Rhinolophus ferrumequinum: one gene and its partner. The protein of the gene in region 1 purifies or fractionates together with the protein of each later gene. This does not show direct contact. Links are inferred from orthologs where the notes say so. Each region holds a gene or a part of one and is shown in the gene's direction. Other genes may lie near its edges. The genes, in order: WDR48 and PHLPP1.

Evidence for each region.
Region 2: the proteins of WDR48 (region 1) and PHLPP1 purify together in Homo sapiens (affinity purification with mass spectrometry; 5 studies listed by BioGRID and IntAct, with this or other methods). This does not show direct contact. The link is inferred for Rhinolophus ferrumequinum from reciprocal best matches to the Homo sapiens genes WDR48 and PHLPP1.

Annotation. Positions count from the first base shown.
Region 1 is NC_046300.1:13,613,753-13,630,343, reverse strand, and holds the start of WDR48 (WD repeat-containing protein 48), read left to right. Parts: upstream 1-9,450; 5' UTR 9,451-9,472; coding exon 9,473-9,520; intron 9,521-16,591. UniProt on the Homo sapiens protein: Regulator of deubiquitinating complexes, which acts as a strong activator of USP1, USP12 and USP46. Enhances the USP1-mediated deubiquitination of FANCD2; USP1 being almost inactive by itself.
Region 2 is NC_046302.1:50,039,203-50,055,811, forward strand, and holds the start of PHLPP1 (PH domain leucine-rich repeat-containing protein phosphatase 1), read left to right. Parts: upstream 1-9,335; 5' UTR 9,336-9,671; coding exon 9,672-11,229; intron 11,230-16,609. UniProt on the Homo sapiens protein: Protein phosphatase involved in regulation of Akt and PKC signaling.

The DNA of each region.
Region 1 (16,591 bases):
TGTGTGGGTTTCTTGCTATCACTGTTTTTCAGGAGCACAGGGCTCAGGTAAAATTCAACATTGTCAGGATGGAGCCTGGACAACAATATTTTCTAGAAGTTCCCCCGCATCATATATAGATTATAAGAGATTTGAGAGAGACGTCAACTAATCAAAATGCAAAGAGGGAAAGTGGGTGGGATTAGTTGGCCATGAATTTGGTAACTGGAACTTGGGTGGTAGGTCATGTGGGTGCATCCGACTAGTCTGTCTACTTTTGCATATGTTTGAATACACTTTTCTAAAGAAGCTCTCTAATTGTTCTTAATATGCAGCCCTGTTGAAAACTGCTTTTCACAGCCTCACTTATTTCGTCTGTTCAATTGTCAAAACCAGAAAGAGATTTGGTAAGGGCTCTCCCTGCCATGACTACTACATTCTAGCTATTTTTACCTTGTATTTTCTGCAATGCTTGATTTATATATTTCGTTGTTTTATTATTTGTCACACTAAGGTTTATAAAAGGTTTCCTTTTATTTTTCTTGAAAAAACTGGTATATGCTCATGGCAAAAATAAAGAAAAATCAAGCAGTATATAAAGGTATACAGTGAAAAATAAATTTCCCTTTCATCTCAGATTCCCAACTTTTCGTTCCTTTCTCCAGTGTCAGCCACAAACACCAATTTCTTTTATCTCCACTGAGGAATAGTCAAGGTGGATGTGAACATATATATATATAGATATACACATGTACATATACTTGGATGTCCTATTTTTATGTATCATTGGGAGCCCCGTATTTTACACTCTGTTAGATTCCTTGCATTTATCACTTAAATTTTGTACAGAAAATTGCTCCAATGGAACACTGCACTGTAGCACACCCTATATCATTACCGATTCTTTTTCTAGGAGAGTTATTTTATAATCTTGTAAATTATAGATTGATAGCAATGCAAAATAATTCCTATCTATTTACATGCAAATCAATTGTAAGGTAGAAAAACCAGTCTTGCCCCCATTTGCACATTCGTTTCACCATTCCTTTACCCCACGTGAATTTGTGCTTCTTTGATTTCTCCTTTGAACCAGTTATGACTTTAATATGTGTCCATTTTGTATCTACAGATATAAAGTAAAAAAAACTTTACTTTTTCCCCCCATAATTATCCTTTAGAGTGTTTAGCAAACAGGTTGAGCATACAATTCATTGGATGTGAGGAAAAAACCCAACTTCATTTTTGTCTCGCATTCTCCTGTGTGAATAACTGTCTGGATGTATCAATCACTTGTTTGATCTGTCCCAGTCATTGGCTTCAGCAATGCTTCAATAAATATTCTTTTACGTGTGTTTTTAAGTTAAATGCGATTACGCTTTTAGGATGGATTTCTAAAAGAGGAACTGCTAAATCACTCTCCAAAGAGATTACACCAATTTACCCACCCACTAAGAGTGTATATAATGATGGGTTTTCCACAGTGTCGGAATACTGTACATTATCAAACTTTTAGATCTTTTCCAATCTGGTAGGTGAAAAATGGAAGCTTATTTAAATATGCATTTCCTTCACTACGAATGAGATCAAGCACATTTTCAGACAATATAAGCCATTAATTTTCTTTTCCTGTAAACTGCTTCGTTATGTCCATTGTCCATTGTTTTCCTATTGTGTATTTCTCATTTGGTATTTTTTATATTAACTTGTAAGCTCCCCTCCTATATTAAGGAAATTGGCCCTTTGTCATGTGTGTTGCAAATATATTTTCCCATAGTACGGCTAGGGCAACTATGAAGAAATGGTGCGAAGCAAGCATAGCACAACTCGGTAGTTTCAGAATATAACTGTGTTTAGACAGGCTGCATCTCTCACATCTCCTCCTGCCCTCCAGATGGGACTGACTTGTTACCTTTTCATTCACAGCAGCTCAGCACTGAAGATCTAACTGGAGTGCAAGAAAAAGGGTGCATTGAAGAGTCACCATGGAAACTGCCCCTCCCACAGCATTTACCATTCAAAGGCTTCTGCAGGCATTCATGTACAACAAATTAGCAAAGAAAGATTTCTAGACACACAACCCTAATTTGAATGCAGTTTGAAGGTGCTTAGAGGCATAAAGAATGCCTGTGGTTTCTGTAGGCAGATTACTAGGAAAAGAATTATCTTCAGCTCCAGCTTCTGTGGAGGATAATTGGTTGAGACATTAGAGCATATTTTGTTTTTGCTGCAATTTTCCTTCCTTCCTCACCTTCTGCTGGTGGTTGCCGGTCCACAGTGCTTGCTGATCTCAGGAGTGGTTTATAGTACTGGGCCTTACGCAGAAGCTGCTTAATAAATACCTCTGATCTTGCCTTTAGTGAGAGGCCAAGCTCACTGAAGTTGAGCTATGAATCTGGGTGGGAAAAGGTGTGCAAAAGACAGATCCATTGTTTTTGGAGGGCAGAGAAGAAGGCAGTGAAAGCAGGAGGAGGTTCTGCAAAGAGTAAAGACCTGTGACTATTGTTGAAAGCATTCAGATTGGTGACAGAACCTGGGCAACAATGGCAGATGATCGTAGGGAAGTGGGGCCCTAGACACTGGGATTTCCAGCTGTAACCAAAAAGCCCAGTCCCAAAGGAAGAAAAGACCAGAGGCCTGGCCACTTTCAAAGGACACTGGGTATCTCTGCCCTAACCACTGTGGCCTCAGAACTGTTGGTGCTTCCAGTAGGTACATGACCCCTTAGGGAGGACTAGGGTGGCCAGGGGAGTCTTAATAATGACTGGAGTTGCCTTTTCAACCATTGTGGCTGGCTAAGAGCTCAACATTATAATTAATTTTAACAATCTACTATGACACCTTTACATATCAGAGTTTATGGAATAAGATTCACACCCACTTCACTTTTCTGAATGAGTATTTTAGGAAGCCTCAGTCAGCTCAGCTCTTGTACAGAAATCCCACCACAAAAAAAGTACTACATGTATGATGTAGCTTTCATATTTTTCCCCACTTAGTAAACGCTTACAAATGCATACATTTTCCTTTATTTTCTTTTATTTTCACAATAAATTATGGCTTTTTATGGGAGCAAATAGGTTTCCTGAAAAGGCACTTTGATTATGACATTTTATCAGCAGGAAATAAGTATGAAGCATCTTAAGATCTGACTTGTCACATTTGAGTCAGAAAGGCTCCCAATCAGGGATGGGCTGAATGGTTCTCTACTGCCCCCCAGTGTATAAGCTACACAGAGGCGGACACATTTTTGGAATGGAAAAGGGACTGACTGGTGTGTATTTCTCATACTTGCACGTAAGAAAAAAATAGAAAGCCATAAAAACAACTAACGGCTATTCCCCCGCCCCCAGTGTGTTCAGAAATAAGTGCCCTGTTGAATGATGATTCGTTTAGTACCATGCCTTTTAAGACTGTATTTAAACCTGAGGATTTGCTGACAAGGCATAAAATAGCACATAAACACTTCGGACATAAACACTTTAAGCACTGTGAGTCTCTGTATTTATTACTTATGTCATCTTGCTTTACTAATGCATACTTATTTAATTATAGTCTTGTAGCCTATTCTATAACACCCTTCTTAGTAAAGAATCATTAAAGTAATAAGGAAATAATATAGCTTCTCCATTTCTCCGCATGAATCTGATTGATATCATGACAGGCTTGCATGAAAAAGTTTATTTAGCACTCTGCATTACCTCCAAGAAGCTTAAAATACTCTTCTTTTCAAAATTCATCTTTAAAATATCCAAATTAATGCATGAAGTATCAGCAGATAATAGTAGCTGCAAACCAAGGCTCTACATGGTTTTGTGTTTGTAAACACATTTTTAGAGCATTAATTCCTCTTGAACAATGAAAACAAAACAAAAAAACCAAAACATTCATGTGTCCCCCTGGTAATGACAATTCTGGGCTATGGTGCAAAGACACACCTGGTTACCTTCACTTTGTTCAGTAAATGGAGTGATCATCATGAGCCAGAAAACGTGTGTTTAAGCATGAGGACGATCTGTAAAAAGGCCTTCTCATTTCACAAATCTTTTTCCAGGCTGTTGAGAAGAAGAGAGGAGGCAAGAATAAAAGATTAAAATGTCAAGCTGATTTGGAAAATCTTTACAAGTAAGAGACCCCATAGTACATAAAACTTATGAGACAATCTACCTTAGGAAGTTACAATGTTTTGGCAATGCTGTTACAACACTTGGGCAATGTTTCCCCAGCAAGGTGATGATTAAAAATAATACCTAAAATACAGTGAAGATTTCCTACATGCCAGGTACTGTGCTAAGGTTATTTCATTTACCTTCATAAGAACTAGAGGAGATAGGTACCGTTGTTATTCCACTTTACAGATACAGAAACTGAAGTTAATGACTTGCTCAAATAACTGGCAGAGGGAAGGACCAACCTCCAGAGCAAGACTAAACAAGAACAAATTTGGTTTATTTGGAACTAGAAGCCTTCTAGGACTCTTATTTACTTATTGTATGAATTCTTTTCAGGATGCGAAAGTTTTCATGGTGTCTAGGGCTTTAATCAGAGGTCTCAAAATCTGAGAACAATATATTAATAATAGATGTCAGGCCTGCTGACATTTTGAGTAGAGATGCCAATCTTCCATTGTAGGAAATGCTAAGGAATTGATGAAGGAATTCTGCCAGGATAAGCCTCGTGGCAGTTACACAGAAAAGACAGTTAAATGAAGATTATCTTTGTAGAATTGTGAAGCTGCTGTGACATTTCCCGTCCTCGTGGGGAAGGGAGGATGTATTAGTTATCTACTGCAGTATAACGAATTTCCCATAACCAGGACCCTTAAAACAACAAACATTTATTATCTCACACAGTTCCCATAGATCAGGAATTTGGGAGAAGTTCTGCTGAATGGTGCTGGCACAGAGTTTCTCATAAAGTTACAGTCAAGATGCCATTTTATTAATCAAGCTAAAGTCACATCCACACACTCTTGCTGTAAGAAGTCTAAAAAAAAAGTGAGTAACTGTCTTTCTCACTTTAAGTAAGCAGTACTCACCATCACCGAAACACACATCGTGGGGAATTCCTCAAACTCAGAAAGAGAACTCAGATGGTGGGCAGCAGAAAATAAAACCACAAAAATCTCAAATGCAGTCATCCCTTTGGCTGCCCAACACCAATATACCCACTGCTTTCAATGCTTATCCATCAAGAGTTGTCACTTAAAATACTGCAACTATCCTTCAAACAATCAAAGATGTATTCACTCTGTCACCCTCCAAGGGAGTCAACCCAGTGTTTCATCAATTACCCCATTCATCCATCCACTTCTAAGTCCAAAACGTCTAGTTGATATCCATTTCTCTGCAACTTACGGACTAAATAATGAAATTTACAAGGAATAGCACACCCTACAGACAATAGTGAAATAAAGGGTTAAAAAAAGTTAAAACCCATAAAAGTATACATGATACATCAATAAAAGAAATACCAATAAAGATGACAGCTCTCATTTCTTCCCCTGATCATGAGGACTTCACTTTCATTTATGATTTCCTTTCTCCACCAGCCACTCTGTGTTCCTTTATCTTCAACCAATACCTTCGTTTCTAAGGGATCTGAGTGTTTGATGGACCTGTCTGCTTATACCAGCAAACCTATTTCTGCTTGATACTCAGGGTTAATCACTTCCACCAATACCATGTCCTTCTTCTCTTGCCTATCCAGTGACATAAGACAGGCAACATAGTTAGATAGCAGTTTCATCTCCAAATCAATGGAAATGTTCAGGCTTTGTTGGAAGAATTCCTTTCTTTGGTAACAAACCTCTAAACCAGCAAAGCCCAGAATTTCAAAGAATAGCAGTTAAAAACATTTTAAGTTGGAGTCATTAGGTATATTCCTTTGTTCCTAAATCCATTCATTTTGCCTATGGAAGTGTGGTAGTTTTAAAAACATATCCACAAATTCTTTGACACTTTTCCCATTTAAGAAAATGGAATCTCCTTAGATATAACCAGCCTTAGCGATTAAGCCTTAATGAACTAAATGTGGTTTAAAGTGACACTGCAGGATTTCCACTGCTACTTTAGAAAAAGCATTAATTACAGTTTCCACCCGAATTTCTCTCCGTGGGGAGGCTCGCCCTTGGAACCCATGCACTACTGTGTAAATAACCAAACAGCACAGTGGAAAACCCATGAGTAGATGTTCTGGCCATAAATTCAGCATCGGTCACCAGACATACGAAGGAGTGGGCCTTTAGATGGTCCCAGCCCCCCAATTTTAGCTGCCCCAACTGAATCAAGTGGAAAGTGGAACATAGACAAGCTGTCCCCTAATTGGTGAGCCCTGCACCAATTAGATTTGTAAGCAAAGTAGATGTTGTAGTTGTTTTAAACCGGTAAGTTTTGCGTGGTGATGCAGCAATAGATAAGCACAGGGAGAAAGCGTGCCAAACACTGGACACTGGTTCAAAGCATATACTGCATCCTGTAAGACAGCATCAAAAAGGGTTATCTCCCAGAAGGCACCATAACTAAGTCTTCAATTAAGACCAGGTGCTTCTTGGTGATAGAATACACAATTAGACCAATGAATTCTACAAGCAATAGCCCACAGAGTTGCTTTCATTACAGAGTGAGTTTGTTGATCAGAAGCAATATGGTGTGAAACACAGTAACAGTATATGACACATCCCCTAAGTCCCCGATGGTGGTGCTGACAGAAGCACAGCAAGCGGGGAAAGGAAATCTAAGTCTAGAGTAAGTGTATTTCAGAGGCCAAATAACTACCCCCTCCACGATCGGGAAGGGCCAATGGAATCGACTTGCCTCCAAGTGGTTGGCTGATCCTCCCGGAGCTTGGGGTATATCACCAACTCAGGACTGGCCACTGTTGCTGGCAAGCTGAACACTCAGCAGTGGCTTGGTGATGCCACGCATAGCTCCAATCCTGCTATTATTGCCATTTCATTCATGATTGCACTGAGCCTGGATAAGGAGGCTGAGTTTCATCTAAGAGCAGTTCATGTCATCTGTTCAATAAATTCTTAATTCTTAAGATGTATTCTGCAAGGTCGAGGATATCCCTTCCTGAGTCTTTCCTGTCACTAGTCCTCCAATCTTTCTCTTTCCATGTCCTGAACCAACTGGCCAAACAATTAGGCTTGGACCATTAATTATTACCCAAGGCCATCTCTCCTTCAGGTAAAGTGAACTTCAAGACATACTGCTAGATATTCTGCCCACTGAAAAGACCACAACTTCAATGCTCTTCAGGTGCAAAGTGGGACCACAACAACCTAAGCATCCATTTCTGGCAGGTACCAGCATATTGTGCAGGGCAACATGCCTGCCTGGTGCCTGGTACATCATGGGTGTGCAATGGATATGTGTTGAATTATTGTTTCTAATGCAGATCAAATGCTTCTCCTGCTTAAATCCTTTCAACAGGTTCCCATTGATCTAAAAGACCCAGCTGTGTGTGGTCTCTGCATACTCCTTCCCCTTCTCTGTACTCTAGGCTTGGTCCTCAATTCCTGGAATGTTCCAAGCTCCCTCCTGCCACAAATCTTTGCTCAGACTGTTCCTTTTCATTGTCTAGTTAACTCCATCCTCAGATCTTTTCTTTTTTTTTTTTAAAGATTTTATTGGGGAAGGGGAACAGGACTTTATTGGGGAACAGTGTGTTTTTCCCAGGACCCATCAGCTCCAAGTCAAGTTGTCCTTTCTTAGTTGTGGAGGGCGCAGCTCAGCTCCAAGTCCAGTTGCGGTTGTTCAATCTTAGTTGCAGGGGGCGCAGCCCACCACCATCCCTTGCAGGAGTGGAACCGGCAACCTTGAGGTTGAGAGGACGCGCTCCAACCAACTGAGCCATCCAGCTGCCTGGGAGCTCCGTGGCAGCTCAGCGGCAGCTCGTTGTTGTCTTCATTCTAGTTGCGGAGGGCACAGCTTGTTGGCCCATGTGGGAATCGAACTGGCAACCCTGATGCCCAGAGCTCACGCTCTAACCAACTGAGCCACCCGTCTGCCCCGATTCTCAGATTTTGACTCAAGAATCGTTTCCTATCTTATAAATGTCTTTCTTCACTGTATTTATCTCCATATTCATTTATATGCATAATCAAGTTATGTCTTACCCTGGAACTCTAAGTTCTATGGTTATATACAGTCACTACTGATCCCCAGCACCTAATATAGTACCTAGTACTTAACAAGTGCTAAATAATATTTGTCAAATAAATTAATACACGAAAAATGAATGTATCTGTAATAAAATGCAGTATGGGTCATTTATCTACAAGTTATCACCGCCAGTTTTGCTTAAGAAGCTTTATGCCTCCAGTTTCTACGACTCTTAATTCATATTTCTTTATTAATTTAGAAAGGCATTTGTCTAGACAAGAACTTTCCTAAGCATTATTTCTTTATTAGCACTATGCAAAAAAAGTGACTATATATGTAACTTTAAATATACTAAGAGCCACATTATAAAACACAAAAATATAATTTTAATATTTTAACCTAATATAGCCAAAACATTATTTCAAGATGTAATCAAGCTGAAAATTATTCAGGTATTTTACATTCTTTTCTTTGTACTAAGTCTTTGAAATTAGGTGGTCATTTTAGTTTCATCACATCTCAATTTGAACTAGCATATATGTCAAGTGCTCAAGAGCCACACATGAAACAGTGCAGTTCTATAGGGTTCCCTTTCACAAGGGAGTCTGACAAAAAAAAAAAAACAAAAAAAAAAAAAACAAAAAACAAAAAAAAACAAGGGAGTCTGACTATCCTCAGCACCAATAATTAGTGTCAGGAAAACTTCAAGTCAAACCTTCACCCAGAAGGGCTAATTGCCCTAGTATAAGATTCTAGAGTGAGCACAACTCCTTCAGGATCTGCAACTTAGAAAGTTGTCTCTGAGAACAATTTTAACCAGTGTTAAAGGATGTTGCCTTCCTAACGTCCTTTTATTTCTTATTTAAATACATACTTTGATGCTCCTTGAAGATGGGGGCCGCCTCCTTTCCAAACACTTCTATTTCTCCGAGACCAGTTTATAATTTTCTGCATTTTGGGATATGTCATGGAAAACCTGTCAGTTCCCTTGGCTGCCTAGGGAAGTTGGGGGTGTGGGAAATCCGTGCCAGCCGCCCGTGTCCAGCATTATTAAATCTTTCAGCGCTTCCCTTAAGCCTGCTTGGGCCTCTGGAATTGGCATCCCAGACAGAGAACAGTGCAAGCCAGGGTTGAGGGGCACACAGAGTTGGATTCGGATTGCTCCCTCGGCTCAAAACTGGCTCTGCCAGCATTACACGCACGCAACCATTTTTCGGTGCTCCTCCCTCACCCCAGGGCCACCGGCCATAGCCACACACTGCAGTCGGGCAGCCCCCGACCAGCACGCCCTCCGCCTACCCACCTGCCCTTGGCCTAAGAGGAAGAGGCGGGACATCCGCCCGGACCTAGCTGCTTCCAGAAGTGACGTCGGAGTGTCAACATGCAAGATGGCGGCCCATCACCGGCAGAACACGGCGGGGCGGAGGAAAGTGCAGGTATGGGAGCCCGGCTCCTCGCCCTCGCGGACGTGGCTGGCAGCTCCGGGCCCACCTCCAGCGAGCAGACGGCGCGGGCCGCGGTGGGCCGGGGTGGCGGCTGGGGGCGAGTGGGACGGGGCGCGGCCGGCGGCGAGGGGTGGGGCCGCGGCGCTAACGGCTGGACGAAGGGGCCGGGGGCTCCGGGCTGGGCCCGCAGCGGGCCCCGCGAGTGCTCGCTTCGGAGCTTGCGGCTGCCGGTCGCCCGCTTTCTCGTGGGCTTGGGCCGGCGGGGAGAGGATTGGCTCGTTCCCCGCCCACCTGCCTTCCCCTGCCCTGCCCTTCCCTCCCCTCCCCCGGAGCGCTCAGCCCCAGCCGCGTCGGAGCGGAGGCCTCCGAGCGCGTTCCCCGTGGGCAGGCGGCGAAGGAGACCGTGGGCCTGTGCGGGGGCGTGGCGGGCGGCGGAGTGCGGACCGCCCTGCGGGTTTTCTGCGGGGATTCTGCATAAAAAACGTCCCCTGCCTTTTTTTTTATGCGGGCGCTTTCCCCGTGGTGTGGTGGAAACGACGTGACAGTGTGCCAGCGTTAGTGGGGAGAATATCATTTTTGTTTCGGAATTTCATTTCGCCTTCCCCATTTCTTCATCTTCGATGTGCATCCATGATTCTTCTTTCCTATTTCTGTAGTTTATTATCCAAGGGTAAAAGGTTATCTAACCCTTCCGTGGGTGCTTTATGCCTTCGTGAATCCGCTTTTGTTTTGGGTACTTTTAAGAGTACCTATTATTTTAAGCGATGCAAAGAGTGAGTAGAAGCCCTGTATTACAGGTGTTTGCCTGCAGGTATATGGTACTACGTACCTTATACCTTATTTAGTAAACATTACTAAGCACTTCGTTTGGTCCCAAAAATGTGCAAAGAATTGACAGTATAGGAATAAGTAGCCACCAGGCTTTCTTTATAAAAACAGCATTATATGGGGTCTGACAATTAAGTTCACAAATTTGTTGCAAAGATGTTGCTAACCTTTTTTGGTGTCAAAAGGATTATTCATTATGAATTTGTACCAACTGGACAAACAGTTAACCGAGGTTACTATTTGGAAGTGCTGACAAGGCTTGCGTGTAAAAGACGGCTTGAACTTTTTGCCAATAATTCATGGCTTTTGCATCATGTCAACGCATCCACCAGCTCACACTGCACTATCTGTGAGGGAGTTTTTAGCCAGTAAACAAATAACTGTACTGCACCGTCCTCCCTATTCACCTGATCTGGCCCCCAATGACTTCTTTCTTTACCCGAAGATAAAGGAAATATTGAAAGGAAGACATTTTGATGACATTCAGGAACTCAAGGGTAATACGATGACAGCTCTGATGGCCATTCCAGAAAAAGAGTTTCAAAATTGCTCTGAAGGGTGGACTAGGCACTTGGCATTGGTGCATAGCTTCCCAGGGGGAGTACTTCAAAGGTAACCATAGTTCAGCAGTGAGCTGAACTTTCTCTAGGATGCCCTTTTTCTAGGATGAGTTCGCGAACTTAATTGTCAGACGTCATATATATGTAGTTCTACAAGTTGAAATCTGAGTGTTTAATACCATGTTTTCCCGAAAATGAGACCTAGCCGGACAATCAGCTCTAATGTGTCTTTTGGAGCAAAAATTAATATAAGACCAGATCTTATGTAATAATATAGTATAACATATGATACCGGGTGTTATATTAATTTTTGCTCCAAAAGACGCTTTAGAGCTGATTGTCCAGCGAGGTGTTATTTTTGGGGAAACAGGGTAGGACAAAGGCTTTCTTCAGTAAGATACCACAGCAAATTGCTATAAGCCGTAGTCTTCTGGGCAGTTCACTTCTTTGTTTTATTGATTTCTTTGGTAAGTACAGTGTCCTGAGCATTCAGTAGATGCTTGCTGAATTGAGTGAAATTAATAAAAATCTACAATACCTTACCCTGTTAGGTGACTTTTAAGTGCATCAGTGACAGGATTTAAGTAACCCCAGCATGCAGGCCAGGTAGTGAGAATGTCTGCTCCTGACTAAAGTGTAACTCAAAATTGTAATTTAATTGTATTCTAGATACCAGAGCGATACACTTCTTAGGGTAGTAAGGAGAGTTAATTACAAGAAAGTTAATCAGTTTCTTGTATTTAGACTTAAAAGAATATAAAAGTATAGGACAGGGAAAATGTAAGTTAACTGCAGTGTGTGTGGAAAAACTGAGTGTTTTAATAAGCTGAATGTGAGCCATGGCATGTAGAATGAGGGAGATGATAATTCCACGATTCACTGGTCAGAGCACAAAACTAGAGTTTGAGGTTAACACTTATCACTTTGTCCTAATAAAGTATAGCAGTCGATTGCCAAAGTCGCTTGAAGCCACTTCCTATGAAGAACATTCAGAAGAACTAAGACTAGCCTGCAGAAGAGAAGGTTCGGTAACTCTTTTTAGCTGCTTTCAGAATTTGTCCCCAGGGTCTAGAAACCAATGTGAGAAGCCACAGAGATTGATTTTATCTCAACATGAGGGAGAACTTTTGTTGATGGAAGTGTTTTTTAAACTAGTGCATGTTCATTGCAAACAAGCCACAAATAACGCCCATCAATAGACAATTGGATACAGAGGATGTGGCACGTGGCATGTACCGGGGTGCCAAAAAAATGTATACACATGACTTGTATTCATCTTTTATAATCAGTATATATTGAGTATTACAATTTTAATACAGTATTTTCCTTTCTTAAAATGTGTATACTTTTTTTGGCACCTTCTGTATATATAATGGAATATTACTCAGCCATAAAAAAGAATGAAATCTGCCCATCTGCAATAACATGGATGGACCCAGAGGGTATTATGCTAAGTGAAATAAGTCAGAGAAAGACAAATACCATATGATCTCACTTATATGTGGAATCTAAAGAATAGAGTGAACGAACAAACAAAACAGAAACAGACTCATATGCCTAGGTAGAGAACAAACTGAGGGTTGCCAGATGGGAGGGGGGCTGGGGTGACTGGGTGAAAAAGGTGAAGGCATTAAGAAGTACAAATTAGTAGTTACAAAATAGTCATGGAGATGTAAAGTACAGTACAGGGAGTATAGTCAGTAATATTGTAATAACTGTACATCCAGGTGGGTGCTAGACTAATCGGGGGGAATCACTTTGTAAATTATATAAATGTCTAATTACTATGCTGTACACCTGAAACTAATATAAAATAATATTGAATGTCAACTGTAATTGAAAAGTAAAATAAAATTTAATTAAAAAGCAAGATATTAAGACAATACAACGTTTAAAAAAAAACCCCACAAACAATACAAAACTGTAAATGATAATTGTCCTCCACTCTTCAAAAAAAGCTACTGTGGACAGTGTGATATATAATCCTAAACCAGGGTTTGTCACCCTGGGCACTGTTGACATCTCGGGCCAGATCATTCTTCATTGGGGTGGGATAGGGATTGTTTTGCATCATCCTGGCTTCTACCCTCTAGCTGTTAGCATCTTCCCAGTTGTGACAGCCAAAAATGACTAGACGTTTTCAAATGTCCCTGGAGGGCAAAATTGACGCTGGTTGAAAACCAGTGTTCTATAACTCTTTGTGCATATGTACCCAACTTGCGTGATTTTTTACTCTAAATAAAGTCATAGTACTCATTTTGTGTTTTGGTGCTTGTCAAAATTTTAAATGTATATTATTACCTTTGACCCAGCTAGTCCCCATTTAAAAATTGTTTTACAAAAGTACACGTGTATATATCTTTCTCTAGTTATGCAAGGGTGCTTGTAGGAATGCGTCATTGTGAAAAAACAAAAATCTATCCATCAGTAGTCAATTGGCAGATCAGTTAGGCATGTTCATGTAGTGGACTAATTTGCAGTTGTTACAAAGACAAGCTACATCTGTATTATTTAGAAGGAAAAGTGTCCAGAAGTCAAAACAACAAGTCAACGTAGCATAGTCCCATTTCCACAAAGGAAATAATGCATTTAAAAAGTCTGGAAGGATATTAACAGTTATTATCTCTGGGGTATTAGATTATGTGATTATGGGTAAGACAGGAAATGGGATATCTTTAACATATATGAACCTTTATATTTTTGAACTTTTTACAACATTCTTTACTCTTATAAATTAAAAAAAAAAAACCTTTCCATTTTGGAAAAGTATATGTGGCTACATAAATACGTTTTGCCTTTTGGCTGTCTGTGTCTTGTACCAAGAGGCAGTAGTCCTGTGCTCCATGACCAAATTTATAGGTCAAAAGAACCCTTGAGACATAATATTGATAAATAACCAGCGGAGAGGGATCCAAACATACTGTTTATTAATTATGGACATAATGAAGAATGAGCACATGTCCACTATCTTCAACTTCTAAGGAGACTGGAGATGAGTTTGAGGGGGAGGGAAGGGTTTGTGATCGTCAGATTATACGATCAGACAATCCAATTTGTGAATTCCGATGTATGATACAACAATTTTCCTGGTAATCAAGATACCAAAGCAAGTCTTTTCACTCAATGCTGGTTCTTTAGTGTTACTATTTTCCAGCAACCTGAATCTGTTGGTTGGCTCTCTGTCTCCATCTTTCCTTCAACTGTGTCTTCTCTTGTTTACTTCAGAATTCTTGGGGTGATATTGGACAAAAGTCACCAGTATTTCTGGTTTAGGAGCAACAGCCATGCCCTAGTACTCAGTGGTGGTTCAAGAATATAAATACTTGGCCTTTTGTAACAGAAGGATTCTTTGGTTGGAAAAGAACCAAAATCCAGCTTACCCAGGCTCACATAATAAAACACTGTATTAGTTAATGTAAATAAACTGTAGAGGTAGTGCTAGTGTCATGCAAAGTTTGAATCAGAGGGCCCACTAAGAAGTGCTTTCAAGTCAGTTTTATGTTGGGCTGCCTACAAGGTGTCCTCTCCTATTCCCAAGCTTCCAGCTCCAGGTCTTCCCTCTGGGTGGCACGGTGGCTGCACCTACCCCAGATCTCGAGTCCTTTCACAGCGCTGCCCAATGTAACAGAGGGTCTTTTATGCAGCCCTGTGGTGGGATTTGCTTGCCTTAAGCAAATGTTGGGAGCAGAAGTGAGGAATGGAGAGGCAGCCAACAAATGTCTGTTCTACCAGTACTTCCCTCCTTACCCTGCCAAATATTTAGTTATTCTAGACCTATTCAGAACTCAGTGTGTTCCTTACTCCTGATTCTGAGTCCTGATTCTGGGTGGGTTGGTTCGTTGGTTGGTTGGTTAAATCTTTGATACTGTTTTTAAGGACGTAGAATGATGCCAAATCCTGACTTCCCAAGGAAAGACCCTTACAAATTAGCCATATGTCCAAGGTGAGTTACTTTTTATTTAGGATGAGTAATTAAAAATGCGGTACCAATGCGACCTCCATTAGAACAGGGTTCAGCAAACTTTTTCTCTAAAGGGCCGAATAGTAAATATTTTAGGTTTTGCAGGCCATTGTACTGCTCATAACCACTTAACTCTGCCATTATAACAAGAAAGAAGCCGCAACAATACCTAAATGAATAGGTGTGGCTGTGTTCCCATAAAACTTTGTTTACAAAACAGGATTTGGCCCATGGACAGTTTTTTACTAACCCCTGGAGGAGATTTTACTAAGCCCTTACTAGAAGTCAGGCTAGGTGTCCTATTTTTATTTGCAAGACTGCTTTTCAGAATACTTTTTAAAATTAACACTCTAGAAATAGAGGTTCTCACAGAAAGTCTTGGTCCACAAGATTAAGCAGGAAAAACAGATGTGAGAATTATTGATATTTGGACAATTTTTCTGGGCTTGATTTAGCTTGATAGCTGGAAGTAGCCTTACACAAAAGAGCTGTGTGATTGCTTTTATAGGATGTTACAGAACAGGCAAAAACTAATCTTTGGTGAAAACAGTCAGATCTAGATTGCCTAGGAGTGGAGTGTAGGCGTCGGGAAGAGGATGAGGCAACTTTCTCGAGTGGTGATAATGATGATGCTCGGTGTATCTTGGTCAGGGTTGGTTTGTGTTACGCTGGTACATTCGTTTGTCAGAAGGATCTATGTACACTTCGATTTGTACATTTCACTCTGTAAATTTTACCTTTACTAATGAGCCATAATAAATAATGAACTCTAGTTAATGCTATCCATACCGAAGTATTTAAGGGGATGTGTTATTAGTGATAATGTAACTTACTTTGACGGGTAGATGGATATGAGATAAAGCAAATACAGAAAATGTTAATACTAGAATATATGTAGTAAGTATATGGGTGTTTGCTGTGTAATTCTTTCAACTTTTGTATGTGTTTTAAAATTTTCATGGTAAAATGTTGGGGAAAAAGAAGCTTTTAAAGGTTAAACAATGGTTAAGTAATGATAAGCAGCAGAAGATGGGGAAGTGAAATGTTGGTTGCAGTGGCCAGAGAAGGCCTTGCTGAGAGGCTGGCTTTTGAGTAAGGATCTGAAGGAAACAAGGAAATGAGATTAGCGTCTGGGGAAGAGCATTCCAATGAGAATGTCAGCTGCAGAAGTCCTGAGGTGGGGACGTACCCGGCCTATTTGTGGCATCTTTATGCCTTTGTGGTTGGCATGGAGTGAGTGAGGGGAAGAGGAAGCAGGAGGAGGTGAAATCAGAGAGGTGACTGCAGACTAGATCACGTTGAGCCTGCAGGTCATGGTGAGGTCTCGGGCTTTGCCCCTGGAGTGAGATGGGAAACGGTGGTGGGCTTTCACAAAGGAATATACATGACATACCCGTACGTGTGTTTTAATAAGATCACCTGGGCTTCTGTATTTAGAAGAGACTGCAAGTGAGCAAGGGCAGAGCCGCGAGACCAGTGGCTATTCAAGAAATCCAGGTGCTACATGATAGTGGCTTCCCCGGGTGGTGAGAGGTGGTTGAATTTTGAATGACAAGACTTGTTGACAAGATAGAGATGGGAGAAACTAAAGTAAGAATGGCACCAAGGTTTGGGCCTGAGCAGCTGGGAGAATGGAGTTGCCATTAACTCCATCAGTGAAGAAGACAACAGGGAAAGCGAGTTTGGAGCAGAAGCCGGGAGCTGGGCTTGGGA
Region 2 (16,609 bases), on another chromosome or scaffold:
ATTCCTATTTCAAAGGACTGAAAACCCAGCAGTTTTCTTAAAAGTCAGAATAAATCTGTTGTTATTTTAAATGCATTAAATATTCCTTTAAACGGCAAGAAACAGTCTTAAAGGTTTTATTTCAAATGAATAGCATCTAAATGTGAAGGTCTCGTCTTTGTGACTAAGAACATTTGCCAATATTCCAAATTAAACAATTTTGCTTTTAGCCAGAATCAGAAATTTTTTTTGAGCTGGAGGATATTTTTATTTATTTATTTATTTTTTAGATTTTTATTGGGGAAGGGGAACAGCACTTTATTGGGGAACAGTGTGTACTTCCAGGCCTTTTTTCCAAGTTAAATTGTTGTCCTTTCAATCTTAGTTTGGAGGGTGTTGTTCAGCTTCAAGTTGTTGTCTTTTCAGTCTTAGTTGTGGAGGGCGCAGCTCAGCTCCAGGTCCAGTTGCCGTTGTTAGTTGCAGGGGGCGCAGCCCACCATCCCTTGTGGGAGTCGAACCGGCAACCTTGTGGTGAGAGGACACACTCAAACCAACTGAGCCATCCAGGAGCTCAGCGGCAGCTCAGCTCAAGGTGCCGCGTTCAATCTTAGTTGCAGGGGGCGGAGCCCACCATCCCTTGTGGGACTCGAGGAGTTGAACCCGCAACCCTGTGGTTGAGAGCCCACTGGCCCATGTGGGTATCGAACCGGCAGCCTTCGGAGTTAGGAGCATGGAGCTCTAGCCTGAGCCACTGGGTCGGCCCTGCGCTGGAGGATATTTTATTTATTTTTTTAAATAATCTTTTTATTTTTCAATTACAGTTGACATGCAATATTATATTAGTTTCAGGTGTACAACCCAGTGATTAGACATTTATATAACTTACGAAGTCATCACCCTAATAAACCTAGTAGCCATCTGACGCCATACACGGTTATTACAATATTACTGACTTTATTCCCTATTCTATACTTTACATCCCCATGACTATTTTGTAACTACCAATTTGCACTTCTTAATCCCTTCCTCTTTTTCACCCATTCCCTCAATCCCCCTCCCATCTGGCAACCATCAAAATGTTCTCTGTATCCATGAGTTTGTTTCTGTTTTGTTTGTTTGTTTGCTTTTAGGTTCCACATATAAGTGAAATCATATGGCATTTGTCTCTTTCTGTCTGACTTAATCCCCTCAGCATGATACCCTTAGGTCCATCCATGTTGCTGCAGATGCAAGATTTCGTTCTTTTTTATGGCTGAGTAATATTCCATTGTATATATGTACCACCTCTTCTTTATCCATTCATCCATTGATGGACATGTAGATTGCTTCCATATCTTGGCTATTGTAAATAATGCTGCAATGAACATATGGACATGTCTTTTCAAATTAGAGTTTTGGATTTCTTTGGAAAAATATATAGAAATGGAATTACTTGGTCCTTCATTGTCTCTTGTTATAGCCTTTGTTTTAAAGTCTATTTTGTCTGGTATGAGTATTGCTACCCCAGATTTTTGTTGTTGTTTCCATTTTCATGAAATATCTTCTGAGCTGGAAGAGATTTTAGGGACACTATCTAGTTCAACCCCTTCATTTCATAAATCAGTAACTGAAGCCTCCTGGAGGTCAAATGTCTTCCCAAGGTCATACTTCACTAGTTAGTACAGCACCAGGACTATTATACAGTGAGGACTTCTGGCTTCCAACCTTGTGTAGGATTCAACTCCCCCGAAATAGTACAAAGAGCCACCTTTCAAACTAGGGAATGTGTAGAAGACTGAGAATGTTATTCTGCCATTGTCATCATCTTTAAACCAACTTATTAATATACCCACCTAAGCCTGAGCCCCTTTGCTTGATTTCATCCCATTTTTATCACAGAGGTAAGGTAAGATTACACATATTCTATGGTATTGATGCAGTGGTCATTTTTGGTAATATTATGATCCATATGGCAATAGGTGGTTGTAACTTGTTAAATTTTTGAAAGTCACAGCTCTGTATTGACCATCACCATTGATTTCTGGCTATAGAATGGAAGAGCGCTAGAGACAGCAAAAGCTCTAGTCCTGTAATTCCCAAATATCAGTCTGAGACCTGGTACTGGTTTGGTATTTTTCTTGATCTGTGGTAACATGAGAAAAGAAAAAGGACAAGGAAAGGAGTTTTTCATAAAGTTATAAAGTTAACTTTGTTCAATTTAAAGGGACTACCGTTTATGCTAAGATCTGTCTTTCCTACTTTTTTGTGTTAAAATGTACTTTCTTTAATAGTATTTTTATGGTATTTATAGTTTAAAAATATTTTTGAGGGCAGTGCTTACAACTGTTTTATTCACTCTCATATACTCAGTTCCTAGCGTAGTGACTGACATAGAACAGAATAAATATTGAAATGGATGAGTAAAATGTTAATAAACCTAGTTTAGTCACCAATTTTTTGGGGGCGGGGGGAATGGGGAGAGAATTTTGTTAATCCCTGAAATGTAGAAGTCTGATAAATTTCAGATTGTCACTCCTGAGGAGCGATGCGAAACACCTATTATACTAGAGTGTCCTCCCAAAATTCACATCCACCTGGAACCTCAGAATGTGACCTTATTTGGAAATAAGGTCTTTGCAGATGCAATCGAGTTAAGATGAGGTCATACTGGATTAGAGTGGGCCCTCTTCCAATGACTGGTATCCTTATAAGAGGGGTATTTGGTCACAGAGACACAGGGAGAAGGCCATGTGAGGACAGATACCAGAAGGTAGAGATTGGAGTGATAAAGCTCCAAGACAAGGAATGCTGTCAGCTACCAGAAGCTGGAAGAGGTAAGAAAGTGTCCATCTCCACTCATCCCTTGCCACCCCTGCCTCCACGCCCACCCTGCCCCCGCCCCCAGCCTTCAGAGGGAGCATGGCCCTGCCAACACCTTGATTTTGTATTTTTAGCCTCCAGAACTGTGAGAGAATACACTTCTGTTGTTTTGAGCCACCCAGTTCACAGTACTTTGTTACAGATGCCCTAAGTAATACAGTGTATCTAAGAGTTCAGACCAGTGGGTGTAGAGGGAGTAAAAGGGGAAAGGGCAAAACTTCTAGGGATTGGCTGTGTCTCCTGTAATCTCTCCATTTGGGGCAAAAAAAAAAAAAGAAAGAAAGGACCTACACTGCTTCTTCAGGGTATAAATTAATGACTATAAATATAGGGGATCATTATCTGGAGGCTATATTTCTACTTTTAGTCATGGAAGATTCAGGGGAAATGCTTTGAGATGATGTAGGAAAGATTTTTGTTAGATATGAATCTCGATAGAAAGAGGTGTTAGGCACTTGTTAGAACCAAAAATGGGTTTCTGAAAAGTGAGGTATAAATGATTTTTTTAATTAATGTATTATAAATGTATTAATATTATAGGAGCCCAGTATTTAAAGCAATTGTATAATGAACTCATATGTAAGAGAAAGAATAAAGAATAGTTTGGGAAGAAATATTAATACTCTAATACATAATTTATATATCTAGATTTTCATATATCCCATTTGTCTAAGGTGAGACGTCTATACAAAATAAGAGAGAAGGTCAATTTTAACTGAAGATATTTAAAAAATGACAATGCCTATACATAAGCTTCCCCAGGACAGGTATTTTTGTCTATTCTATTTTCTGGGGGTAAATGGTGCCTACACATAACAGTTCAATGAATACTTGTTGAATGAGTCTCAAGTAATTTATATTGTTACCAGAAGTGGTGGAATTACATGGTCTTTATTTGTTGGTCTAATACTACACTGTTTGTGACATATAACACGTCTATTTCTACGAGGCAGGATGTGAGAAACAAGAGAAAGACAAAGGATTACGGGATTAAAAAGGGTACACTACAATCTGAGAAGCTGTCAAGCGGTATTGATGAAGTGGGCTACCTAAAGTGATAGTGGCGATCTAAATTCTTGATAGAGTTCTTGTGAGGGAGGGGTAAGGCTTTAGAGAACCCAGAAAGTCTCATCCTGCCAGTGAGCAGGGAACATAGGAATTGTGTGGCCACCTGGGGCTCATTTAGTTCACTAGAGCAGTAATTTGCTAAATGGGTTCTTCCTAGTAAAAAAGAATGAGTAAATAGTGAGCAATTTAGGCATGGTAAACCACTAGTAGCTCAAGGGATATAAAAATGTGAAACTATAATTAGATTCCTTGTTCATAATGTACTAACTAAATGTATTACATTGTATATTGCATCTTTCTGCATTTATTTCTGGACACAGCTGAGACCTTAATAATTCAGACTGAAAGCATCCCAGCTATCAAGTCTTGCCTCCATTAAAATTCCAACTGCTCATATTAGGAAAAAAATTCCAAAGATAGTTTCTTTTATCTTGGATCTAAGGATGCAAACAGGATTAACCTAGATGCACAACACAGCAAGTCAGTTATAAATCACACAGCGTAAAATAAACTGTGGCAGTAAATTGAAAATTATGTTCTCTTTTTCTCCACTTAGCTGTGAAAATATTTTAACAAGTTGGCATCAGGGTTTGCAACTTTTACATCTGTTGTTTCTTGTCAGGATTATCTTTTAGCATTTTAAGATGTGTTTCTTTGAAAAGTGTGGCTAGTCAGAAAAATGTGGTATTGTACATGTGAAACACTTTAAAGGGTGTGGGGGGGAAGCCTCTAGGAGTCACGGTGGTTTCAGGATACTCACTCTACTTTTAAGTAGGAGAAGCTATTTCACGGGTGTCTGAAAAACACTTGGCCTGTCCTGAAATCCTTTTCTTATTCAAAAAGATTGTGTAGTGTAGGTTGGCTCAGATGGTCTGGATGATGTTTCATGATACTAGTAAGCTCTAAGCACAAGTTTCATTGCCCTTATCAATGTCTGTTATTTCAACTACAAGGTTCCAGTTGATGTGGTGTTAAGGGCACTGCCTATTCTTTACGAACTCTCATTTTCTCTCTCCCCTTTCATCCCCACGTTGAGTAACTTTATGAAAGGTTTGGAGGTGGAACAAGGAATGGATCATATTGTAGATTTTTGCTTTTCTGCTTTCTTCTCAACTCCTATTTTCATTATTCTGAGTACAATGGAATATGGTGTCTTTAAGGTTATGAATACTATGTATGAAATAGTTTCTTTATGTAGAAATTATATTCTACATTCTTTCCCCTGCCCCATGCCCCCAACTCACTCTTTCTTTGAGGCTGGAATGTATTTCCTTTGTCTTCATGTTGAAATACTTTAACATTATTCATTATTCCCCTCCTCCTCCCAATTTAATAATCCCTCATACCAAGTCTGGCAGGTATGTATGATGAAGTCCCATCCCCTCGTTCTCTCCCCAATACTTTGGGTACTAAATTTTCTGAGCAATGCTTTTTCTTTAAAAAATTTTCCTCTTGGAGGAGGTGTTTTGGTTATAAATACCTTCAAAGAGTAAACAAAATTCCTAGAGGATAAAAAGGCAGAGTCCTGGTGATTGTGTGTAAAGCTAAATGACAAGAACCAGAGCTAGATTAAGTACAGCACTATAATTTCTTAGAGAGTATGCAAATGGACATTGGGCCAATGGTGACAGTATTTATGATTAAAACAAACTTGCCTTTAGTTATATTAGCTAAAGAAATATAACTCTAGAAAGCAGGTATATGGGAGGTAATACAGATTTTTTTTTTTAATTTATATGAGGCAATATTGGCGAACAGTGTGTTTTTCCAGGACCCACCAGCTCCAGGTCAAGTCATTGTTTTCACTCTAGCTGTGGAAGGCGCAGCTCACTGGCCCATGTGGGAATCGAACCAGCGACCTTGGTATTATGAGCATTGTGCTCTAACCAACTGAGCCAACCGGCTGCCCAATACACATTTCTTAATAGATCGAAAATTAAATGGGTTTGTAGGAAATTAACTAAGGAACTAAGGAATGTAAAGAGTTTTTGTACTGAAATTTAACATGCTCTTTGTTTTTCGATCTTATTAAAGGGAGGCTAAATTAAAATACCATTCGTTTCATTTCTAGAACTAATTGTGTTAGGGACTACTCAAGACACCATATAGATTAGTGCAGTTGAAATTGAACTTCAACGTCATTATCTCTTTCTCTGCCTCCTTGCTTTCTTTTGAAGACTGATCCTTCAGCAAGTATTCAGTTTCAGTTGTTCCAGATGATTTCATCCAAAGGTAGGTCTCTATTGTCTGACTTCCTAGACTAGGTCAGTTCCCCTTGCTTTATTTTTGTCTCTTCCCCCGGCACCTGGTCTTTCCCCTTCCCTACATCCCTCTCACTTGTTGACTCTTTCTTTCTAATCTGTAAGCTGTATACAAAGGCAAGGACATGGTATATATTTTTTCAATCATTTTATTTTCAGCTTTTGTTAAGTCCTTCTGTTTTAGGTGCTCTTGTAAACATAAAGTTCATTTTTGTTTGTTTCTTTTTTAACAAAAACTTGACCATTTCTGTCTTTTAACTCTAACTGGCAAGTTTAGTCCACTTATGTTTGTGGTGATTATTGACAGCTGGTCTTATTTATCTCCTCCAGTTTCCATTGCTACTGTTATTTCTATGCTTTTTTCCCCCTCTCTTTGTGCCCTTTCTTTGGGGGTTGAGTATTTGCTTGTTCTTTTTTTTCCCAGTATTATTTTACATTAGTTTCAGGAGTACCGTGTTTCCCTGAAAACAAGATCTACCCCGAAAATAAGCCCCAGTTAAGACTGTCAACTAGACGGATGCATTTAGTACGTTATGATGATGTTCCAGAAGAAGATGACATGACTGTATTTGAATAAATGTAGATTGCTGTACATGAAAAAAATAAGACATCCCCTGAAAATACACCCTAATGCATCTTTTGGAGCAAAAATTAATATAAGACCCAGTCTTATTTTGGGGGAAATACAGTAGTATTTGTTTCTTCTTATTTTGTTTTATCTCCTTTATTAGTTTGGAAGTTGGCACTTTCGTTCTTTTCTTTTAGTGGTTACTCTCAAAATTTTACTTGTGTACTTAACAAAATGTAACATTAATAGCTGAACCTCCCAGTGGTAAGAGGGCCCTAGAACATTTTAACTTCAGTTACTTCCTCCTTATGTTTAAGCAGTTATTGTCCAGCATTTTATTTCTGTCTTTTTTTTTCAACTCTACAAACTGAGCGTTAAAAATTTTTATACAGATAATATTTAGATTTATCTACATGTTTACCAGTAAATTTGCTCACTATTTCTTGTATCTAGGCTGATTACTTATCCTTTTAGTTTCTCTGATTATTCTCTCCTAGGGGACTATCTCACATTTCCTCCTATCTCTTCAAACCTTCAGCACTTCCTCCACAATCCTTGCTCACAGCTGTTGACCATGCTTCCTACTTAACAGAAGATAGAATCAGAAGAGACGTTTCAAAAATTGTCTCCACTACACTTACCTACGTTCTAGCACCAGTGTTCATATATTCTTCCTTTCCTGTCTTTGTTGGATAACCTATCTGTGCTCCAGCATTCTAATCCCTCTACTTAAGCACTAAATCCCATCTCCTTTCACTTATTGAAGATATTTTTTATTCTCCTTTCTCATCCTGTATCATCAGTTTTTCTACCTAATTATATCATTTTTATCAGCTTTCAACATAGTATACTTTCCTCCATATTGAATTAAAACCCTTCCTCAACTCACAGCTCCCTCTTGTACAGCAAAATTCTTTGAAAGAGTTGTATGGTATGTACTAGTTCCCTAATTTTCCCCCTGGGCTACCTTGATCTTGAGCTCATGCTTTCATCCTTAAAAAAAAAAAAAAAAAGAAAAATCCAGAAAACGGCAGGGACAGTGTCTGATTCATTCAATTGCTGTAACACAGTGGTGACTGGTATACAATATGTTTATAATTATTTGTTAAGTTAATTGACTTGACTGTCTTATCTCTCTTAGGAGAATTTGCATTCTCCCTAATTTAAAAAATAAAACTGTTGATTGAATTGAAACGGAATAAAATTAGTTTCATGAGGCCAAGAGGTAAGACTTCAAAAGAAAAATACAGAAAATCATTCTCAGGAATTTCAAGAATCAAGCGAGATATGTATTTATTTTTGTCCTGGTAGCTTCCTTAATCCCTCTTCAGCAAAACTGTGTAGATAACCTAAGTACAACTTTCCTTGCCCTTAATTTTTGTTATGTCAGCTGCAAGTTCCAGTTGATTTCTCTTTCTCCTTCCCCCACCAAAGTTTAGGAATTTCACTGAAGTTAAGGCAGGCCCTGGATAGTATACGGTTGAAAAAGTCTCACATGTGAAAATCCAGATTTATAAAACAATATGGGGGAACGGTAACTCAATTAAAAAGGTTTACTAAATTCTTTTAAATAGTAAGCTACCCTACTCTAGTCTACAGTATTGTTTTAACTGACAAGAAAGTGCAACTTTTCAAAACACAACTAAACATTGTAACAGTAGAACTTTTTTTCTGAATGTTGAAAGAAACAACAAGGGATGACATAGGAGGGAACACACAGGAACAGCCCATCTCGTATCCCACTAATGTCTCCTTTCCAACGTTGCTATTACTTTCCAGTGCTTTCTGTGTCATTAAGTTACTCCAAACTTTAAGATCAATGGGAAAAAAATGAGAGCCCTGCCCTTTGCCCTTTTCCTTTTTAGATATAGGCATGGAAGAAGATCAGCTCCGGGTTGCACGACTTCCACCAAGCACATTCAGCAATTGTCCAAGTTAGTATTTCCAGACACTTCCAGTCTCCCTTGACCTTGAAAAAGTAGGGAAAAAGTGAAATTGGCTTACTTTGATTGCCAGTTATCCAGTGGTGCTGTGGGTATTTGTATCCCATACAACGGGTGGAGGTGAGGGTCACGAACCGGGGATTTTTGTGCCATTTTGAGTCCCTCAAAGTCCTTAATTTCAATTAGTAGGGAAAACGAAACTCTTATGGGAAGCGGGAGTGGGAGAGTTGGGTACAAGTTAATCAACAAGAACATTCCCGGCACAGTGTTCAACAGTAGAGGGCACAATACGCACTGTCCACTGCCAGGTGCTGGATGCAAGGAGGGGCACAACGTAAGGATCTCTGGGGCTTGTAGTTCGCCCTGTTTCCCTTGAGCATGACCGTCTCCGCACTAGCACTACAACTCCCAGAGTGCACCGCACGCCTCTTTTGTCGGCCTCCCCTTCTGTGAGGCCCGCGCTGGAACCTCGGGGGAAACGGCTCCCCCGCCCCGCCCTCGTACGCACGCGTCAGTTTGTTTACTCTGAAGCCCCGCCTCCCCTCCGACCTCCAGCTCTCCCCACTCCTCCCAGGAATGCCGTCATGCTAGCAATGCATATTCATAAGGCTCACGTGGAGCTCCCGCCCTGTCCGCCTCCCGCCTTCCCGCTCCCGGCGCGTGATTAATATTCAATGAGCCCAGCCTCGCGGCTGGTTCGCTGGCGTGAGGTGTGGGAGCGGGCGGGGCCTGTGCGCGGGAGCCCTCGACCCGGGCGGGGAGGGCGTGTTGAGAGGGGGGGCGGTGGCGGCGAGGCGGGCGCGCGGGATGGAACACCGAGACACCGACGGAATGCTCCGAATTGCCACATAATCCCCTGGAACGGCCGCGCCGAACGCCATTGGCTTCTCCCTTCTCCCCGCGCCACCGCCGCCGTCTCCCACCTTCGCCTCACCGCCTCCCTCTCTGCCCGCTGCCTCCGGAGCTGGGGGGGAAGCTCGGAGCCCCACTGCAATGGAGCCCGCCGCCGCGTCTACGGCGCAGCGACTCCCAGAAACCAGCAGGGAGGACCGAGCTCCGGCTCCGGCGGCGGCCGCAGCGGCAGCGGCGGCGGCAGCGGCGGCGGCGGCAGCGGCGGCCGCGGCAGCTCTGGCGGCGGCGGCGGCCGGGGACGGCCGGAGCCCAGAGCCCGCGCTGACCCCGGCGGCCCCGAGCACCGGGGCGCGGGAAGAGGCCCCCCGCGAGGCGCAGCCGGGGCCGCTGCCGGGCAGAGTGGGAGGCACCGGTCGCAGGAGGAGGCGCGGCGCGCCCCAGCCCACCGCCGGCGGGGCTGCCCCGGTGTCCGGGGCCGGCAGCGGCGCCAACTCCCTCCTGCTGAGGAGAGGGAGGCTGAAGAGGAATCTGTCCTCAACTGCTGCCGCCTCGTCGTCGTCGTCCTCCTCGTCGTCGTCGTCGTCCTCGGCCGCTGCCGCCTCGCACTCCCCCGGCAGCGCCGGCCTCTCCGCCTCCTGCTCGGCCTCGGCGTCGCTGTGCACCCGGAGCCTGGACAGGAAGACGCTGCTCCTGAAGCACCGGCAGATGCTGCAGCTGCAGCCGTCGGACCGGGACTGGGTGAGGCACCAGCTCCAGCGCGGCTGCCTGCACGTCTTCGATCGCCACATGGCCTCGACCTACCTGCGCCCGGTGCTCTGCACACTGGACACCACGGCCGGCGAGGTGGCCGCCCGCCTGCTGCAGGTGGGCCACAAAGGCGGCGGCGTGGTGAAGGTGCTGGGCAAGGGGCCCCCCGATGCCGGCCCCCGGCTCGCACCCGGCGAGCCGCGGGACCTGCGGCCGCCCCCCCGGAACAGCGCGCTGGCCGCCGTCGGGGCCCCGCCGCGCGCGCCTCCTGCCGACCTGCCGCTGCCCGGTGACCCCGGCGGGTGGGCGCTCGGCTCCTCCCGCGCCAGCCCCGCGCCCTCGGACTCCAGCCCGGGTGAGCCAGGCGCCGCGCGGCCCCTGGACAGCGCGGCCGCGGGCCGGGCTTCGGATACCGAGAGCTTCAGCCTGAGCCCCAGCGTCGAGAGCGTGTCGGACCGGCTGGACCCCTATAGCAGCGGCGGTGGCTCTTCGTCGTCGTCCGAGGAGCTCGAGGCCGATCCAGCCGCGCCGGGAGTTCCGGGCCAGCCCCGCCTGCCCGGCCGCTCAGTGCAGCCCCGGGCCGGAGCAGGCGCCCGGCCGCCTTCCCCGACGGCCTCCCCGCCTCTGCCGCAGCCAAAAGCCCAGAGGCTCGTCGACGGCCCGGACGGGGCTGCCCGCGATTGGCCTCGGGAGGAAAAGGAGGCAGCAGCCGCGGCCCCTGGCCGCCCCCAGCTCCCCCCGGGTGGGAACCCGGCGACCGCGGAGAAGGCGCCTCCGCCGCCCACCTTGTACGTGCAGCTCCACGGAGAGACCACCCGGCGCCTGGAGGCGGACGAGAAGCCTTTGCAGATTCAAAATGACTACCTCTTCCAGCTGGGCTTTGGGGAGTTATGGAGGGTGCAGGAGGAAGGCATGGACTCAGAGATTGGCTGCCTTATCCGCTTCTACGCAGGTAAGGAAATCACCTGGACTTGGCCGGGGAGGGGGGGTGAAAAGTGTCAACTCATCATGTTCAGAGGTGGGAGTCAGGTGGGCGGTCTGTTGGCCCGACCCCAGAATAGTCGCAGGTCCTAGGCAGTGTTTGTGACTTTACAGTTTTCACGGGTGATCTGTGTAATACTCAACTGAGCAATTATTCGTGCCGATCGTTTGGTCAGTCTTGAGGGACTCAGGTTGGGAAGCAACTCAGAGGTTGGGAGGGGTTGGTAGAACCCCCGGGAAGTACAGGAAGCAGGTATTCAAGAGGCAGTAGTACCTTCAACAATGAACCTGCTGCCCTCAGGCCTCCCTCAGGGCAGTTGGGGATTTCAGGTAAACTATCACGTGTACTTAATACCGATAGAGGAAAATGGCTAACAAAAACGCTCTAGAACACTCTCCCTACACTTGACTGCCCTCCTAACCCTAATACTGCCCCCCCCCCAGCTCCTTACTTGTCAAATTGGTGCACGTTCAGCTCTCTTTGTCATGCTTATTTGCCCACTTACCCCTCGTTAGAGACCTAACAGATAGGATCCTTTTTAGATAACTTTTTCCCAGCGCTTTTTTGCTTTATTACAATTTCCTCTCCAAGTTTGATTCTTGCATCAAAAGTGATTTTGCCTATTTTGTTTCTCACGTTCAGTCTTTATAGCCAGAACTGACCATTGTAGTGTGATTTACAATGGGGAATCACAGTAAGACTTTAAGTGCTATCTCTTGAAATGTGATCTAAAGTCCTCGTTCTTTTTCAGTTCTAGATTAAAATTTTTTAAAAAATTCTATTCTTTATTCCAGATTTTTTTGAGATACAATTGACAGATCAAATTCTTGACTGGGGTGAATAATGTTCTCTTGGATGAGAGATTTGGCTGGTGCATAATTAGGGAGCTATAGATTCTGGTTGTTATATTTGAGCTTTATAAGTTGGTTACATCCTTTCTCCCTCTGGTTTCAAGAATTATGTTATTAGTTATAAGGAATTTTATAAAGGTAGCATAACAAAATAAATCAGAGTTGTATCTTCCCCAACTTTACTATTCTAGGTTGTAGGTGATAGTGGAAAAATAATCACACTTGTAATTAATCTGTACCCATTCTTTCTATTTAGTATGTTCTTGGTCCAACTTATGTCCTAGTGGCAGTGTAGTCAGTTTGAATGAAGAAATCTTTACTCCCACATTGAAATATGCAAGACAAATAAATAGCATTCCTGATGAGATGTTCCTCTGAATTTCACTGAAGTTTTTCTGTAATTCAGGTGGATTTCTGATGGAGTTTTGCCTTATAAAGAAAACCATATCATAATACAATAGCATTTGCAGTTTCATTTGAAGATGGTATCCCAACTGGATGACATGCCTTTAAAAGTTTATGGTCTAGGAAATAGGTGATTTTGTTTTTTATGTAGGAGCAACAACTCTATCCTTTTCTCCTACAGCTCATCTAATTTGTAAAATTACAAAAGCATTAAATGATAATCACACATGGAATGGGAATATTTTGTTAACATTGAAGTGATAAATACCCTCATAACCAGACTTAATTCATGGAAGGAAATGTGTATATATATATATATATATGTATATATATATATATATATATACACACACATTTAACAGTATTGGACATATTTTATATGGAAAGAGCTCTGTATCCCCTGTTTTCCTCACCACTAGATATGTTTATCATGATAAATGCTAATAGGAAAGTTTTGGGTGTCATGGTCATGAAATTTAAATCTTTGATTCCCCTTGATTGTCTCTTCAAGTGTATCTAAAATATTCTAAGTGAATGATATACAGTTTTTAACATCTCAATATAAAAGTGGCAAAGTATCTTTCTGGTTAAATCTTAAATTTCTGGTGTGGTCATTTTAATCTTTTTTTTGTTTTTTATGAATAGCAGTAATTGTTACTTCATTCTGAACTTACTTGCTTTATTTCTGTATACACAACATAAATATTTACATGCCTCTGTGTATATGCTCATAAAAATACTTAATATGAAGCCACACACAGTATCCAACCTGTTCTCGAAGATGAAGGCAGGGTACAGGTAGGTGTCCTAGAAGGAAGATGCCTGATTATTATAAAGATGTCTGATTGCTTATTTTGTTTTTTTATACAAAGTTGAGCTTGTTTTAAGCCTGTATGAATAGGTTAATATCAAATGTCTCTTTGTTGATATTCATTTGCTATAGAACAAAATTGAGGGAAAAAGAACTTTCCCAGGAAGTTTAGTTATTGATGAACAAAAAGGCCTTGCTATAAGGTTGTGTCACTTACTATGGAACCATTGTCAGGACTTCACATGTAGTGGAAGTTTGCACCAAGCTGGAGTAGATTTCCTAGAAATTATCCGTGTACTGCAATGGAATGTAGGACACCCAACTGGAAAGTGTTACATTTTGGTAGTAATGATTTTCCTGAGGAAGAAGAGAATTAATGTTTGTTTTAGATGACACCCTTTTGTATACCACATATGTTTTTATCATTTTACATGTAACTTACTCTTAAATTTATTGCTGCATATCTTTTTGTTTATACATGTGCTTGGAATTAAGGATAGATTAGGAAGCTGCCTTTTGAATACCTTCCTGTATTTAACTTGAACTTGTTATCGGATGTCTATGTAGTTTGTCTAGTCAGCTGTGTTTTTTTGAGAAGTTGGTGTTTAGCCGAGAACTTTCATTCTCTTGAGGGTCACCTTTCAATTAAAGTTTGCTGTTGATTACCTGACTCAAATTATTCTTAAAAGGCTTTGAAAGCCATTTGTGGTTGCTTTGAATACTTAAATATATTTATTTGGGGAAAGTGAAAGGAAAGTCCTTAATGCACTAGCAGGTGTTGGACAAAAAGTACTAATTACAATGATGCGAATCAAAATTTGGTTTGAAAATTGTTATTGCGCCTATCAAACAATAATTCTTTTAGGTGATTGAAGAGATGAAAAAATTTAAATGGTTTTTCCTGACGTTCCTTAAGTATAGTACGTACATTAGCATCGGATGTCCTTTTAAAATCAGCCATCTTACATTTTACCTTAGAGTAGTTTTAGGTTAAAAAAGTTCAAGAATTTAGGTTAATTGACATAAGGTATGGACTTCAAAACATTAATGAGCTTGTGTTTTGTCATTGATCAAGTGCAGTATTAAGCTCTATTTTTTTATATTGTTGACTTCCTGCCACCTTTTAGATTTAGTAGTCCAGGTATTTCAGTTCAAATTTTAGTAGTGTGGAAAGCATGATGACAGAATGGAGAGCACACCCATTGTGCCTAGTGAATCTTGGACAAGATGTTTTTATGTGTGACTTATTGGGATTGCTCAGAATGATCTCCTTACCCCTCTCATATTTCCTCTCTTTTTCCCTTCTGGGAATGATCAAACCTTACATGGTTTCCTACATGGAAACCAAGAAGGGGTGGTTCAGCATTAAGCTGTAATATTGACGAGCCGGCTCTTATTACTATAATTACAGCAGTATTGAATAACGTGGTATGAACATGTGACACCAGTGTGTGCCTGAACAGTCCTTCTGATTTTAAGAACAAAAGGTTTAACTTTATTTTTGTTGCTTTTTATATTTAAATTTTATATTTGTTGTTTTTTATGTAAAATGCATGCTGTCTTTTCCTTCATAACTGTGGTTTGATAACATCTGTTAATATGTTGGGGTTTATTTTCTTCAAAAATCTTAAAGGGTTTTCACATAAATTATCTCACTTGTCCTTTCAAAAACATGGTTAGGGAGGAGTCTGTCATTCCTTTTTTCAGAAGGAGAAACTGATGCATAGAAAGGTTTGACTCTTGCTTGTGGTTTTTCAGTCCTTGACGGAGTTGAGAATAGAGAACTTGGATATTCAGTTTTTCAATTCTTATCACTTTCCATGAATTGGTGCTGAATTTCATTTACACTTGAATTTTCACTTGGTTAAAAGCATTCAGCAAATACGCTATTTTTGTTGGTAATGAGGTGATAGTATCCTCTAGTCCAAAGTGGTATTCATTGTGAAATGTGGATGTTTCTATTTTTATCATGCTGCCTTTAAAAACGTAAAAAACCAAGACTGGCAAATAAATAGTACAGAAGGAGTACTAAAGTGTTCTAAATATCCTGGTTGCAAATAGTCATACTTGTTAAGTTGATCTGAAATAAAGTTTACCTAATGATTCTTTATTTTCTTATTCAAGCACGCCTCATTTGTTAAACTATAAATCTTTATTGGGTATAGAGAATTAACACTTCATCTAAAAAGTGGATAACTTTTGAGGGTGGTGGTGTGACGATTCAGTTTCTTTAAGACATAGCTGTACTTGTAAAGTATTGAAAGTTTTGCTTAAACCTTTTATTTTAAAATAGAATTATTTGTACTTTAGTGATCAATACTGCTTTTTTGGTGTTACTCTGCAGTTGTGTAGTTTTTATAATTCATATGTTATATAGAACTAGAGTCAGCTATTCTCCCTGAATTTCATAGTTATTCTTAAAATGGTGTGTCTTTTGTGCTCATTGAAATAATTGTGAGGAGAGGAGATGTGTATAAATGAGTTTGTAAAGTTTCTGTGTTGAAAGTTTTATCTTTTTGTTGCTATAAGAAAGTTAAACCAATGATTGGTTATCCAAAGATTATTATTTTTAAAGTGTACAGTGTTTTTGATGTTTCTTACTCTCTTTTTGGAACCCTGAATTTGATTTATTGGTAACATAACATTCATTGACGTTGTATATGATCCAAGCCTAGCATAATACTTGGCATTTTAGTTTAAACATTTGTTGAATTGAATTTGTGGAATTTTGTTAAGCAGCTGGTGGTATGTGCCCTGATTCTTTAGCCTCCCATGCTGTTTGGGTCCCCAGAGAAGTATTAAACACACATGCACAGAGGCATTTCTCCCATGGCAGCAGATTTCAGATGTGCCGCATAGTACTATTAATAACTTTATTTCACGTGAGTGAAGCTGCATGTAGATTTTGAGAGAGCAGTTCTCAAAGTTTTCTTAGAGTTAACATGTGTCACCCCCTCCCTTTTCAAAGGCATTTCTTATCTCAACTTTGAGATGAATTTAATGAGGCATCTGTCAAATGAGGCATCTTAGATTCAATGATTTTATGTGCCAGGGTTGAACACAGTTCGGTCTATCTGGACAGGAGAAGGGTTTAATTGTTGTGCTGTGAAAATCGAGAGATCCTGAAGCCACTCAATAGAAAAGCTTTTCCTTTAAAGACTCCTGACATTTTGAAAAAGAGAGAAATTGTTATCAAAATGTCCAGAACAGTCTGGGAAAATGAAGCCTTTTTTAAAACTCCCACCTTCTAAAACCTCCACTCCTTTAATCCCAGACATCTGGT